Linked DNA regions of Astyanax mexicanus. The protein of the gene in region 1 interacts with the protein of each later gene in a biochemical or structural test. Links are inferred from orthologs where the notes say so. Each region holds a gene or a part of one and is shown on either strand. Other genes may lie near its edges. The genes, in order: klhl20 and dapk1.

Region 1 (8,070 bases):
AATAAAGAATATTAATATAATTTTCACTGTGATGTTTCTCTCAAACACAAACAGAAACGTTTAATGTTAAAGCGAGAGCTGTAAACTCAGGTCTACAGTCAGTTCTCCAGATGCTATTGCTCCTTCTCTCTCTCTGTCTTTTTCTCACAGTAGGGAAGAGTAACACATGCGTGACCGTGGTGAAGACATTTTTAATAGCTTTCATAAGCCTTCCATCATCCTCACACAAACCACTTATTATATACACAGTCTCTGGAAATCATCTAAAGGAACAGGTGAAGGATTTGTACCTGCCTGTTGAACTCTTCACTAATCTCAAATTCCTCCCTTAGCCCCACTCAGTCATTAGTGTTTGTATCAGTGTCTCATCTGTAGCCCAGCCCTCTCGTTATCTTAACCAGGTGTTTCTTGTCTGTTTTAGAGTAAGAACAGGCCATTGTCTGATTTTGTGCTTTACAGTGTCAGTTTATGGTTGTTTTCCAGTTATGTTCTGTTGTAGCTTGTTTAATTTGTTTATGAAAATAACAGGGCGCACAATCTTTTTAAACTCTTTTTTTAACCCTAGGTATTGTGTAAAACTGGCATTTTCCTAACAAGGTAGATTTTTATGGATATTTTTGTATGATTTTAATTCACTCTTTGTGGTCTACCAACAGCTTCCTGCAGATCCAGTGAATCAGGAGTGTTTGGGTTTGGGAACGAGCCAAATAGTTGTAATTCTGCTGATTTAAGGCCGTCATTAATGGAAACACGTACTCGACTGACGTCTCGGTTGTGGTTGGGTCAGGAAGGTTCTCTGTAATGTACAGCAGGACCAGCAGAACTTTCCATCTGACCACACCGGACTGCTGAGTCTGAGCATACTTACAGCTCATTAAACCAACCTCATATATACAGAATATATACTGTATATGATCCCCTGATAGACTCAAGAGAGGGACAACTCCCCCACCTAGTGCTCCCATGGATGAAAAGTGGCACTAAATTGCCCCCTAGAGTGGCACAATAACATCAAGTGTCCTATTGGCTGCACATCCTGTGGGTAAAAAGTGATGGAGTGCCCACCAGGATGCCCCTTCTTGCAATAAATGATGATGATGATGCCCAGCTTTGCAGGAACAGTTTGAGGAAGCCCTCTTCCTGTTCCAACATGACTAAATGCACACCAGCGCACAAACAGAGCTCCATAAAGACGTGGATGATCTGGTGAGTTTAGAGGAAGAACTGTACTGATCTGCTCAGAGTCCTGATCTCAACCTGACAGAACAGCTTTAGGATGAATTAAATTGGAGACTGAGAGACAGACCTTCTCATTTCCATAAACACCATAAACACACTCCTAAACCTTGTGGAAAGCCTGAGTGCATGCTCAGACTGTGATGTATTGTGAAACTCTGTATTGTGCAGCAATAAATCAGACTCAGCTGTAAAACGTCTGGATCTAACGGCCGATCCTGTTTCTGAGAGCCAGAGAGACTCTCCTTCCACCACTCCTGAGAGATGATTGCCCTCTGCTGGGAGAGATCTGCATCACCAACAGCCCCTCACACACACAGCCCATAATAATACCAACAACAGCCCCTCACACACACAGCCCATAATAATACCAACAACAGCCCCTCACACACACAGCCCATAATAATACCAATAATAATGCAGTTTTTATTTCATTAGCTGAGTGAAACTGGCATGAGTATTTCAGTATTTAACACCAGTAAAGTAGTTAATTATTAGTATAAAATTTACATTAATAATACATTTTTTAAATAATGTATTTATTAAAACAAAAATAATCTACATATGAAATTAGATCACTAACATCCTCTGTGCACCACACACAAAAAAAATCAGAGTGTCTCTTTATAAGCTCATCATTCTCTTTAAGAGTAGATCAGGTGAGCTCTGTCTTTGGTGGATTGCTATTGTAACGGTGCAGCTACCTGGACGTGTTCAACAAACTCTTCTCAGCAGAGGAAACTGAGCTGCTGGTTGACGCTGTGAAGGAGCTCCAGCAGCTCATTTACGGGAACAGCAATGTTATTTTATTTACTATTCTGTTTATTGTTGATGTAAAAGTTGGGTTTGTGCTGCTGTGTGTTCATGTGTGTGTAATAAGTGGGGGTGTACGCTCGGCTCAGCGCGGCGCCTGTGTTACCGAGATAGCGATGAACGTCTGACTGTTGGCATCTGTCTAGGTTGTATTCAGTCAGTGGAACTCCTGTGTTTTCTGTTACGCCCATCAGTGTAGATATATTCAGAAGATCTGCTGCTGTTTAAACCAGGCAGGAGGAAGGAGTGAAAATAGACTGTTGGTGGGGTGTAAGATAGTGATGTGTTGTGTTGAATTAAAATATGTGTCTAACATATATGGATGCAACGTTAAATACCCTATAAATATAAATGATGACCTGTTTGAGCCGCCAAGGTCAAACCTGAGTCCAGTAACAGGTTTAACCTTCAACCAGCTGATCTACGAACTGCTGCCCACCCACTGACCCCCTGCAGGAACCCTGAGGAACTGCCCTGTTCTACACACACACACACACACACACACACACACACACACACACACACACACACACTCTTGCGCACACACACACTTGTTCCTCCCTCCTCCCCCTCCTTGCTCCTTTCTCCTGGTTGTCGGGGTAACCCCCTAACAAAGCCATCATTTTACCAATTTCCACAGAAACAGGTGCTGGCACAAAGGCCGCTTCCTCGGCGTCTGAAAGGGAAGGTTAGTGCGGTTCATGGGAACCCGGGAGGACAATCTCAGGCCTGTCCAAGTGTCGTCCTCAGACTCCCACATAAAAGGAGGCTAATTTGTTGTCGCTGTTTTCCCAGGAGGAGGAGGGGGGAGAGGGAGGGGCACAGGAGCTCAGAGTAACACACACAGACCCTCTGAGACCCGCCCACAACCCAAGGGCGGAGTCACGCTCTTCGAAGGCTAGGGGCGAAACATTAATTGGGTACCAACTGCACGTCATGAGGCGTGTATATACTAGAGGGGGCGTGGCTAAAACTGAAAACTTAAATGTAAGAGAAACATTGTGCCTCATAAACACTAGAGTCCCTCATCCTGTACCGTCTAATACAGTTCACCACACCGCGACTACAGCCCCAGCTTCACAACATTTTCTCAATGTTACACTTAACGTCTAAAAACAGGTGGATTATAGATTATCCAGGTGTGAGAGATTTCCAAAAATGTCATGTTTTACATTTTACTGTAAATTTAAATTACACAAATCTTTCTTTTTCTATCTGAACTGAGTTTTACAATGTCTGTTTCTCAGCTGATAATGTGTTTATTTCAGAATATTGATTTATTTAAAAATGATTTGTCCTAATACCATGTGATCAGCATAACATCACACCATTTCTCCTACAGTGAGAATACTGAACACACTGCGGGAGCTCTTACACTGTAATTACAATGTTAATTACACTGTTATATACACTGTTAATTACAGTGTTATAGTGTTACCTACACTGTTAATTACACTGTTACATACACTATTACTTACATTGTTATTACAGTGTTATTTACACTGCAATTACACTGTAATTACACTGTTAATTACAATTTTACAGTGTTAGACTGTTACAAACACTGTTCAAAAACAAGTGTTAGTCTCTTTAGCAGTCTCATTTCTGGTTATATGTTTTATTTAATATTTACTGTATTAGTGAAAATTTAAATATATATAAATAGTTGTGGAAGTGGATTTTTGGCTGGAAATACAGAAAAATACAGAAATCAAAGAATGTGTAGATTAGACCGAAAGCTCCAGTCTCTGATGTTTATTGTTAATAATGTTGTAAATGTATTTAGTGAATCTGTTCACTGTGCTGAGTGTGTAACTCCGCCCCTCTCGCTCAGTGAACACTCACAGACCAATCTCGACCAATCACGTGCGGCTTTAGCAGAAAAAAGAATCAGTTCACAATCAGGAGCCGACTCCCTTCACTTTAAAGAGTCGGTTCTTAGAGCCGAATCGTTCAGTGCTGTAATATAACCAGATAATCTGGTGATGGTTAAACACGGGTCTACCTGAGTTGTACAGGTGAGCCCGGTGTGAGATTAAGGTGAGCTGTAAGAGAACCCTGCAGAGAAATTCAGTTTATTTTAAAATCTTTTGAAAATGTTTCATTTTCATGTTTCTGCATATTCATATGATGTGAGGAATATGATTAGACTCTCTTTAGACTGATATGACATTACCTTTTTTATTTAACTTGATTTTGTTCAATTTTTTTATTTGCATTTTCATGCATATTTTTTTGTCTGTTTTTTTTATTATATTTCTTGCTAGCTGATTATTATGTTTTCATATTATATGTTTGTTCAAAAAACAAAAAAAAGGAAAACTAATGAAAATTTTAAATAAATAATAAAAATTTACACTGTTTTTAAAATGTTCCATTTGTGCTCAACCTGATTAATGTTAAAGTAGCAGTCCTTAAGATTTTTAATTTGAAATGATTTTAAAAACAATAATATTACTATAAAATGTTATAATAAATGGTATCAGTGTGCTTATGTATACTATTTCTGTAAAATCACATATACTTATTCTATAAACAGTGTGGTCTGGTAGGTCCCGGGGCCTTTTTCTGGCTGTAATAGATTATGATTTTTTGTACCTGAATAAGTGAGGTAATGCTAAAGGTGCTGATACAAGAACTACTGCAAACACTGAGATATCAGAACAACAAACTCTGAAACACTTTCTTTATCTGATCATCACATCATTACACCAAATAAACACAGAATTAAAATAAAGAGCTAAACAGTCCTCTCTATAATCACCAGATTTATCCAGTACAGTGCACAGAGTTAGCTTAAAGTACTTTTAAAACCTGCAATTAAACATTCTCACCAAAAACCTGCAGACTGTCTCTTTAATCTGATCCCCGGAGCCCCGCGGTGTGACGGTAGAGAGCCGGTGAGCTGAGCCGGGACTGGGCTTCCCTGCGCGGGTCAGCAGATGGCGGAGCTGCGCTGTGGACCGGACCCCTCTCTATAACCCGTAGTAGCAGCAGCGGCTCCGCTCTGAATCCGCCCCCAGCCTCGGTTCTGTGTCTTTCAGCGCAGTTTAATGAGCGGCTCGTCCCCGCGGAGACTTACACCACCACTCTGGAGCGCCTGAATGGACAAATAAGGTAAATTAAAGCCGGGTTTAACGCTGCGATCCGCGGGTACTGTCCCGCTTACCGACCCTATTAGCTACCTGTCTGCCCCCGCTAAGCGCTTAGCAAGCGTATCCCCATAGCCTAGCCTAGCTTAGCCTAGCTCCAACATCCAGCTCAGCGGCTGAACCGAGCCCTGGCGGCCCGGTCAGCAGGATCTCACCCTAATCACAGTTATACTGAATTAATTTACCTCTCATTTTACTAAACTAACTGTGCTTCAACTGTGTCTCGTCTTTTATTAATATATATAAACTGCTAGCTTAGCTTAGCCTGGCTAATCTAACTAACTATAGCAGTAAAACAGGGCAGGGTTGTTAGCCAAGATGCTAACTATCTGTAATTTAACATTTAGCTAGTTCAATAATAATGATAAGATTAATAATAAAATGGTCTTAAAACTCACAAAACGACCAACATACAGCTGCCAGTTCACTGCTTACCCCGATGATTAGTTAGCTAAATGAATTATTCAACTCAAAGTCAGTGTTTAGAGGCAGAAGTGTGTACAGTTATTTACCTCAGATTAGCTAACATAGCTAATCTAAGCTAGTGCTGGAGCTGCTGTGAGTTGTGGTCTGAAATCTTTGCCGAACCCCCGAACTCACACTGCCGCTACAGCACAAACCCACACCGGCCTGTGGGTCTCCGGAGGTTCGGATCTTTAGTTTGAGTTAGTGGGGTAATATAACATAACATCAGAACATCTAATCTAATGTACAGGTTTTAGATTCCTAGCTCCAGTGCACAGCTAATAACGCTAACTAAATAATAAACTTCACACTCCACTCATCTCGTAATCAGCGAGGGTTAAATTTAAGGGTATTTTTTGTTATTAAATGTTTTATTTGTTTCAAAGTAATTGCAATATACAGGAAAATAACACATTAATCAATCTAAAAAACAACAACATTTGTTTAGGTGACACATCTGTGTATAAACTTGGCAGAGTAGTAATAATAGTATTAAGATCTTCTTTAACTGTATGTTAAATGCTGAGAGAAATCATGAATTCCTGTACAAAAATTACTGTGGAGCACAGGGAGTAAACACGACTGAAAAGTGCAGCACTACAAATGTGAATCTTTAATCTCTCTGACAGCTGAAACCTACAAAAACAAAGCGTAGATGGTGTACCAGTAAATGTACATTTTATGTTAAGACAAACCATATTATTCACAATAATAATGTAAAATATATACAAACCAATATAACAATTCAAAAGTCTATGGCTATTACATAATGTAACATATCATAAAATGACCACAGATTCAATCATTAAAATTAAGCTAAGGTTACAGGTTTAAAATAATAATTTTAAATGTCTTCCAAAGTCACTTTTTGGTGCTACCAGGTTAAAGCTATTTCTGCTTACACTATTCTTGACTACATTCTTAGTTTATAATTTCCTGAAATGTTATTTGGATTTTTTTCAGGGGTACCTGTGTGCGCTCGGACTCCGCCGCCATGGACATCACCAGCCGCTGCACTCTGGGTGACCCCAACAAGCTGCCGGAGGGCGTGCCGCAGCCGGCCCGCATGCCCTACGTCTCGGACAAGCACCCGCGCCAGACGCTGGAGGTCATTAACCTGCTGCGCAAACACCGGGAGCTGTGCGACGTGGTGCTGGTGGTGGGCGCCAAGAAGATCTATGCTCACCGCGTCATCCTGTCGGCCTGCAGCCCCTACTTCAGGGCCATGTTCACCGGGGAGCTCGCTGAGAGTCGCCAGACGGAGGTGGTCATCCGCGACATCGACGAGCGCGCCATGGAGCTGCTCATCGACTTCGCCTACACATCACAGGTCTGAGCTAATCTCAAGTTCTATTCTAGTCATGGATGTACCTCAGCAGTGCTGCCCAAGTTACATATAAGTAAAAATTACACAGAGAAGGGCAGTCAGTCTTTTGATAAACAAACAAATGCTAAAGCAAAGTTAATAAATTTTTTTTAATATAAAATTCCGGTACAACTCATATCTCAGATCATAGCCCTGAGAGGAAGTAGAGAGTGTGGGCTGGCTAATAAAAAAAAATCCTAAAAATAGAGGTAACCCTTAATTTTTTCGCTTATTTGGCCAAATGTGCTTATTAACCACATTGGAATAACGTGGTATTCTACCTTGGGACGGCAATTGAAGCTCGGTGCGCTGTCATTCTTTACACTATACAGTTTACTATACAGTTTATGCATCCCCAAAAGGAGATGCTTTAAACAGAGTTAATTTATATTGAAAGTTAATAGACCACGTCATATTATATGCGGCTGTGGCGTATGTCATTGGTGCGGTGTGAGGACTAACAGGTGTGATCTGCAGGTAACTGTGGAGGAAGGTAATGTACAGACCCTGCTGCCCGCCGCCTGCCTGCTGCAGTTAGCTGAGATCCAGGAGGCCTGCTGCGAGTTCCTCAAGCGGCAACTCGACCCTTCCAACTGCCTGGGCATCCGGGCCTTCGCTGATACCCACTCCTGCCGAGAGCTGCTGCGCATCGCCGACAAGTTCACCCAGCACAACTTCCAGGAGGTAGGTTCTTCCCTCCGGCTCCGGTGGTGTGATGGAGGAGGAGGAGGTTTCAGGAGCGTTCCTCAGTAACAGCTTCACCTGGGTTGTGTGTGGGTCGCCTGCTCTGGGTGTTTATAAAGCATCTGGCAGAAAGCTGATTCTTAAATGTTAGAGTGAGCATCACTCCGAACACTTTCTCAATCCTGACACTTGATTGTATTTTGACTGGATTAGGTGTGAAAATGCAGATTGTGATTTGTAAGCTCTATATTGAAGAGTTAGAGATTCAGAGTGAAGGGATGCACTGAATATTTTGCTCATCAAAAATATTTGCCAATGACGATTTTCTGAAGAAAAAAAAACACTTTTATTTGA
Region 2 (7,815 bases), on another chromosome or scaffold:
AATTTCACTGTATTGTTTATTTTATATTCATTTGTTTTATTTTTTTATTCATGTTTAAAATTAAATTTCTCATGATTTTCCCATAATGCCAAAACAGTTCCACTACAATTTGAAAGGGTACAACATAGGCTATGACTCCTGCAAGTTTGGGCAAATTTCACTGTATTGTTTATTTTATATTATTTTATTTTTATTTTTTATTCATGTTTAAAATTAAATTACTACTGATTTTCCCATAATGCCAAAACAGTTCCAATACAATTTGAAAGAGTATAACATAGGCTATGACTCCTGCAAGTTTGGGCAAATTTCACTGTATTGTTTATTTTATATACATTTTTTTATTTTTTATTCATGCTTAAAATTAAATTTCTCATGATTTTCTTATAATGCCAAAACAGTTCCACTACAATGTGAAAGAGTAAAACATAGGCTATGACCCCTGCAAGTTTGGGCAAATTTCACTGTATTGTTTATTTTATATTAATTTTATAATTTTTTATTCAGGCTTAAAATTAAATTTCTCATGATTTTCCCATAATGCCAAAACAGGTCCACTACCATTTGAAAGAGTCTGTCCTAGGCTATGACTCCTGCAAATTTGGGTAAATTTTAGTTTAGTTTATTTTATATTAATTTGTTTTATTTTTTTATTCATGTTTAAAATTAAATTTCTCATGATTTTCCCATAATGCCAAAACAGGTCCACTACCATTTGAAAGAGTCTGTCCTAGGCTATGACCACAGTCTAGTCTAGAAATCACCTGTTAAAGACACCTGTGCTAGAAACAGGGGGTGTGAGTTTAAAACCATCACCTTAAATCCAATACCTCAAGTGCAAGGGGCTATCTATAGTGAAACCTGCAGAAATACGCAGTGCTGATAGCCTGAGGAACTGATAGGACTGCCTCACAGTGGCCCTGTGATGGCTTATTGGAGAATGAATTTACATCTGATACTAGCAAGTATTAAAAATAAACAAAACAGTGAAATTTGCCCAAACCTGCAGAGGTGATAGCCTAGGACAGACTCTTTCAAATGGTACTGGACCTGTTTTCAAGGATTCAAGGAGATTTTACTGTCATTCGTATCACATGTGGTTCATGAGGTGGAACGAAATTGTGATCTCACGATTCAGTTTACACCCAAGAGCTGTTGTTAAAATAGATATATAAATAAAGTAAGACAACAAAATAAAATAATACAATAAAAATAGAATATAACAAAATGAAGATAAGATAAAATAAACAAAACAGTACAACTTGTCATAGCCTAGGACAGACTCTTTCAAACGGTCATGGATCTGTTTTGGCATTATGGGAAAATCATGAAAAAAAAAATATTTTAAGCATAAATAAAAAAAAAATTAAATTATTATAAAATAATCAATACAGTAAAATTTGCCCAAACTTGCAGAGGTGATAGCCTATGTTGTACTCTTTCAAATGGTCATCGACCTGTTTTGGCATTATGGGAAAATCATGAGAAATTTAATTTTAAGCATGAGTAAAAAAAAATAAAAGATTAATATAAAATAAACAATACAGTGAAATTTGCCCAAACTTACAGGAGTCATAGTCTAGGACAGACTCTTTCAAATGGTCATGGACCTGTTTTGGCATTATAGGAAAATCATGAGAAATTTAATTTTAAGCATGAAATTTGCCCAAACTTGCAGAGGTGATAGCCTAGGACAGACTCTTTCAAATGGTAGTGGACCTGTTTTGGCATTATGGGAAAATCATGAGAAATTTAATTTTAAACATGAATAAAAAAAACAATTAATCTAAAATAAACAATACAGTGAAATTTGCCCAAACTTGCAGGAGTCATAGACTATGTTCTGTAAGAAAGAACATATCCAAAGATCCTCTCGCTCACACGGACCAGGAAGCTTCCAGCGCTACCTGACTTCAGCAAATCCTCCGCCTCCTCACGAGTAATAATACCTGTGTACAAAGAGAAAGAGCTCAAATCAAAAACGTTTAATCACGTATTTCAATTTATTGACTGTAAGATAATTATTTATTATGTTAGTAATATTGCAAACAAATATAAAGAAATAGCATTAATCCTTTGAAATAATAATAATAACAAACCCAGTAATTATAAGCAGAACACTTAGACAGAGAGAGAGAGTTTTTTCTTGGATTAAAGCTCACAGATGGCCCACACTTTGAACTCACCATGAAACCAAGGGGCAACTCGACTCTCGCCTTGCTGTAAACAAACTCTGAGGGTCTGCTCCTCTTTAAACCAGCGAATAATTTCATCCCTGCTGGACGTCGACAGCGACCGGCACATACCTGGCTTCCTGTTGATCATAACGGAAAAAAAACGAATTCAGAAAAGCTTTAAGAAAGACAAGCTGTCTGACTGCCTCTCTCATACCAGAAAATCCTACATGACATCAGCTCTACAAGCCCAGGAAACAATAGAGGGTTAAACTGATAAGCATATATGACACAGCCTAGAGCAGTGATGGTATAGTTACTTTGAAAAAGTAATCCGATTACTGATTACTCCTTAAAAAAAACTTAGTTACTTTATGGATTACGCGATGTGTGTGTGTGTGTGTGAGGTGGAGAGAGAGAGAGAGAGAGAGAGTAACGCACAGTGACTTGGATAAGTAACTTTAATCTGATTACTGCATTGGAAATAGTAACGCGTTAGATTACTCGTTACTGAAAAAAAGAGTCAGATTAGAGTAACGCGTTACTAAGTAATCATGTAGTTGTAAAGGCAAAATCCAGCAAAAATATATAAACAAATAAATTAATAAATATAGCCAAAAAGAATGGGTGACAGAATTTCATTAATAATAACTGATTTAGGCTTGTAGCTCTGGTGCAAAATCAAAGAAGCAAATTTCAGTAATTTCCTAGATGAAAAACTATGTTCAGGCTTTAAGTGAATTTGTCAAAATTATTATTTTTATGAAATCATCCTTTAAAATATATATTTTTTTATCATGTTGATAAGTTAGGCCTTGTTAATTTGTAAGACAGATTTACTATCAAATCAATGCACAATAAAATATGTAACAAAACATAATTAAAATATGTTAAATAACTCGTCAGAAATTCATATTATATTGTGTTACATCATATTGTGAAAATCACCCAAGGCACTACTAGTAACATAAGGCCACTCAGTGCTGGTGTGGGTTACAGAGGGGCCTACATCGTTCCAATCCACAGCCTCTCGAGGTCAGTCACACAACTGATCATCATTGTTTGTATCTGTTCACTCAAGAGTTAACGCCCAGTCTTTTTTTCATGAAGCACTCACGCCTGACTACATAATGAGCGTGGTGTCGTTCTCACAGGAGCAAAGAGCACTACAGTGTATTGAATACTACACTTCACTATAACACTAAAGCTACAATATTTGACATGGCTTAAAGGGGAAGTCCACCTGTTTTAATATTTTTATATAAATAAATATTTAGTCATTTGTTTTACATTAGTTTTGTGATAACATGATATTCATAGATTGTATTTTTTTTAAATTGCAAAACATTTGGCTATATTTGTGTTTTATATCTGGACCACTGATACCTATCACCACCATTGTAAAGAATTTAGAATCTGTAATTTTCTATATTGTGAATTTAACTACTCTGACAGAAATATGCAAAAAAAAAAAAAAAAAATTAAAATTCCACTGTAAGCAGTCCTAAGTAAATCTACATAAGTAATTCCAAATCCAAATATATTTTTGTGCGTATAAGGGAATCGATGAAACTATAAAAAAAAAATATTTCACTTACTTTGCATCAAAATCTGCACAATTAAATTAATAAATCCCAAATGAAGAGAAGCAGATGTCAGCCTCAATGTGAGATATTACAAAAAGTTTTGAATACACTGGCTGATTAGAAATTCAATCAAAAATAAAAGCAATAATAATAATAAAAATAGTAATGCAATAAAAGAAAATCAAAATAAGATAAAAAGCAATGATACAAAACTATTAAAATAATAATATAATAACTATAATAATAATAATAAATACATAAAATGAAAATAAAATAAGGAAACAAAATAAATAAATAAATAAAAATAAAAAGATAATGAGAAATGAGACGGGGCCTAAACACCCTGATTTTTGCTGACTCCACTCTCAGCTCAAAATTGAAAAAAAAGGCTAAGAAATAGCAGGGGTAGTTTGGGAGGGGTACTGGGTGATGTATGGGTTTAGGGGCGGGGCAGGAGGGACAGCTGATTGGCTGAGCTGCTGCAGCAGCAGCACTGTGCCTCTGATACCTGTGAAACTGTGAATCGTGAGTATCAGAGTACCAAAGTACACGGACACCTAATCCACACCATCATCCATTTCCCCTTGAGAGAGGTGGAAATGACAACAATACAAGTTTTTTTTAAGGCAAGGAAAGGGTTATAAAAATAATTAAGCAGGACTGGTATGTTTCATTACTTTTAAGGAACACATTTCAGCTAATATTGGAAAAAATATGGTTTAGGGTTTAAACAGTGTACACAATAATAAATAGGCTTTTTTACTTCCCTATATAAATATATGAAGGATAATTAAACAATGTGCATAATGATATATATATATATGCTTTTGCATTTACTTCACTATATAATTATATAAAAATTAGTTTTTTTTATCATCAGCTCTCTATAACTGCCATTGAGGGGAGACACTAATGGCTTGAGGACATTGCCCCCCTGAGTACTCGCTCTATACCGCCTCCTCCAGACAGGAACGATTGGACACACGCGCGCGAGCGCACTCTCTCTCTCTCTCTCTCTCTCTCTCTCTCTCTCTCTCTCACACACACACACACACACACACACACCTACTTTCTGTTGCAGTCCTCCCATTTGCCTTCATTTCCTACCACCAGTCCATGTCGGTGTCTCTGCGGAGCGCTAGGTTCAGGCTATGCCGCCGTTAACGTTACCGCCAGCGCCTCACCCACCCGGACTTTACCTGCTTCCCTCAGACCTAACGACCGCTCGAGCTTAGAGGTAACTTTAACGCTGGTTAACGACAATTTCGGTATAATTTAGCCGCTTTTTATTGCGCCAGTGTTTAAGCTCTTGTTCCGGGTGAGGGTATCGGTGCATCCTAACGTTGAAGACACGTTTCTCGGTTAATTAAACGATATTGGGGCTTTGTTTTGCGGCTGTCGCTTGATTTAGAAGGTGAAGAGCCTCGTTTTAGAAACGAGCGTTACTGTTTTTTTTAAACGTTAGTTAACCTAGGTTAGCTAACTAGCTAACATTTAAATGTAGTTTAAGCTAAATTTTGTGAAGCTGTATCGTTAGTACAGCAGCAGCAGCACACATAGGCTATATATATGTAACTTAACGTTACTACGTTTAAGTAAGCGTAAAACGTTACGACGTTTAATACAGCGTAACGTTCAAATGTAACTTAGTTAACCTAACTAGCTAGTTTACATTTTGTGTGAAGCTGTATCGTCAGTACAGCAGCTGCTGCTTTTAATACACACACACTAATACACACACTATGTGAAAGCTTGGTGATTGAATAGGCTGACTAGCTATGTTCAAGTAAGCGTAAAAAAACTGCGTAACGTTCAAAGAAATTGTTCGTTAACACATTTTTTCGTATGATTATTAATTAGCACTTGTCTTAATATTTTACGTTGAATGTCCTTTGCTTTGTTGAGCTACACTGGTGATGTTTTATCGTGAAGGGAAGGGGAGACCCAAGCCCAGCTGATATAGTAGCTAGCTAGGTTAGCTAACGTTAACTAGCTAGTTAATAGATAACCTAAGTTAGCTTAGACACGTTCACCTACAGATACTGCCTAGCTTTAAGCTAACTACTTAGCTAGCTACGTGCGACGGTGTGTTTTTAAAGACGTTGTGAAAACGTGTGTAACATCTCCCTCCTTGTCTACTACATCCTTCCTTCCTTCCTTCTTCTTCCAGCGCGAATATGAGAAGGGTTCGCCGAAAGCTGTCATGAGGCTGGGCGGCTGATTTGGGAATCCCGCTGTGCAGGAGCAGCAGCAGCACCACCAGCACTATGACTGTCTTCAACCAAGAGAATGTGGAGGATTACTACGAGATAGGAGACGAGCTTGGAAGGTAATTAATGCTTTTTAGCTTAATTTCAGCTTTTTTAGGGGGCTTTCCCCAGTTTTTTCTCAGCTGGCACAGTCGGGACTGGGCGTGGACTGACATGTAGCTCTAGCTATTTCTCTTATTTTTGTGGTGAGAGAGATGGGTTGGGTTTGTCTCGTTTTCTGTCAGTTCATTTCCCCATCCATGCACACATTCAAGTCAGTTAAGCTAAGCTGAACTGATCTGATCTGAAGACGCTCTTCAAATCAGACACACAGTGATGTATCAGGCAGAATGTAATGGTCACTCATCACAGATGTGGCTCTGGTGTCTTCTGCTAAATGGACTTGGACAGGGCAGATGTGCCCTCGAACCCCATTCACGCCTGTCAGTCAGAAAAGCTTTGATATTTTAACAGCCAGACTTGGTGCTGTGCCTCTTATTGATTGATGTTCAGTACGTCCAGTGGATGGATGTGACAGCCTGCTGTGCAGATTGGTCATCTGAGATCTGCACCTGCCAAGATGACGGTCCAACCAAGATGTCCCTCAATTTGCACACTGACGGTCATGCCGACCTTACACCAAAAGATTTTCCAGCGATTTCACTGTCGCAGACAAATTTACAGTTGTGGTCACGTTATCTCGATCATTCATTGTAAGGATTTGGTTAGGATTTAAGGTTTAAGTCAGTCTTTTTCTTAACCTGGTGTTCAGATACATTCAGATACAGATACATAAACCGTGTTTAATATTATCAAAAGTTTAGACACTTGGCTCACACAATGTCAATAACCAATAGGAGAGCTTTAAGAATCTGCAAGGCAAGCGTGGGGACATTTTCGTTCACTCAAACAGGGTCGTGTCCACATTCTGCAGTTTCTTGTCTTTTCCTCTGTTGGCTGTTTTTTCTAAACAAATCACTGCACACACACTTTCTGCTCATTGTTAAACTGCTTCTTTTCCTGTTAAACGCCACCAGAAATATGATGGGGAAATAATCTCTACTAATAATAGTGACCCAATAGATCCCCAATCTTTCAAAATCTTAGTCTGTGACTTGTCTTTAGATGTGAGAAAGTGTCAGACTTTAGTCTATTAAAGTCTTTTCAGAGTCTTTTCAATATAATCTAGTGTATGGGTAGCATTAGATGATGGAAAGCTCATTCTTTGGTTGGATTTTCAGAGAAATCCCTAATCAGAAATCACATTTTTTTCCCAGCTGCATATCATGAGGATGCAGATTCTCATTGACTTCCAGGCGTGTGGGTGGTGTTGTTCAACACGGATGAGTGTGCTCGTTGTGTGGGCTGCAGCGAATTTGACTCTTTTTGTGTTTAAGAGAACTGATTTATGTGTCAGTTCTCGTGAAGCCGCCCCTAAAAGCAGGGAAGTCGTATCTATGCCCCATACATAGATTGATATGGTTGTGTAGGAGAGATGGTACCCTGCCAGAAAATCAAAAATATTTAAAGGCCTTGAGGATGATTTTGTTGTCTATGTCTTTCTGTAAATTAGGCTTGTTGCAGTTAAGCTATTCGTATAAGAAGTGTGACAGTGTTGTGCTGTAGTTAGGCTAATTCATTCAACTGGTTCTGTAATAGAGAAGTGAGTGAAGTGTATTTGATTACACCAAGATGGGAACTAGAAACTCGTTCTTGTGCTCTCTCTGTGTGTGTAAGAACTGGATTAGTCAGGTGTTAAAATGTGTCATTTGGGATATGCAGTATGCATTATTCAAATAAACATCG

Evidence for each region.
Region 2: the proteins of klhl20 (region 1) and dapk1 are reported together in a solved structure, tested with the Homo sapiens proteins (2 studies listed by BioGRID and IntAct, with this or other methods). The link is inferred for Astyanax mexicanus from reciprocal best matches to the Homo sapiens genes KLHL20 and DAPK1.

The regions. Positions count from the first base shown.
Region 1 is NC_064415.1:59,187,845-59,195,914, reverse strand, and holds the start of klhl20 (kelch-like protein 20), read left to right. Parts: upstream 1-4,924; 5' UTR 4,925-5,166; intron 5,167-6,629; 5' UTR 6,630-6,660; coding exon 6,661-6,996; intron 6,997-7,509; coding exon 7,510-7,716; intron 7,717-8,070. UniProt on the Homo sapiens protein: Substrate-specific adapter of a BCR (BTB-CUL3-RBX1) E3 ubiquitin-protein ligase complex involved in interferon response and anterograde Golgi to endosome transport.
Region 2 is NC_064429.1:18,860,216-18,868,030, reverse strand, and holds the start of dapk1 (death-associated protein kinase 1), read left to right. Parts: upstream 1-4,794; 5' UTR 4,795-4,997; intron 4,998-5,930; 5' UTR 5,931-6,027; coding exon 6,028-6,089; intron 6,090-7,815. UniProt on the Homo sapiens protein: Calcium/calmodulin-dependent serine/threonine kinase involved in multiple cellular signaling pathways that trigger cell survival, apoptosis, and autophagy.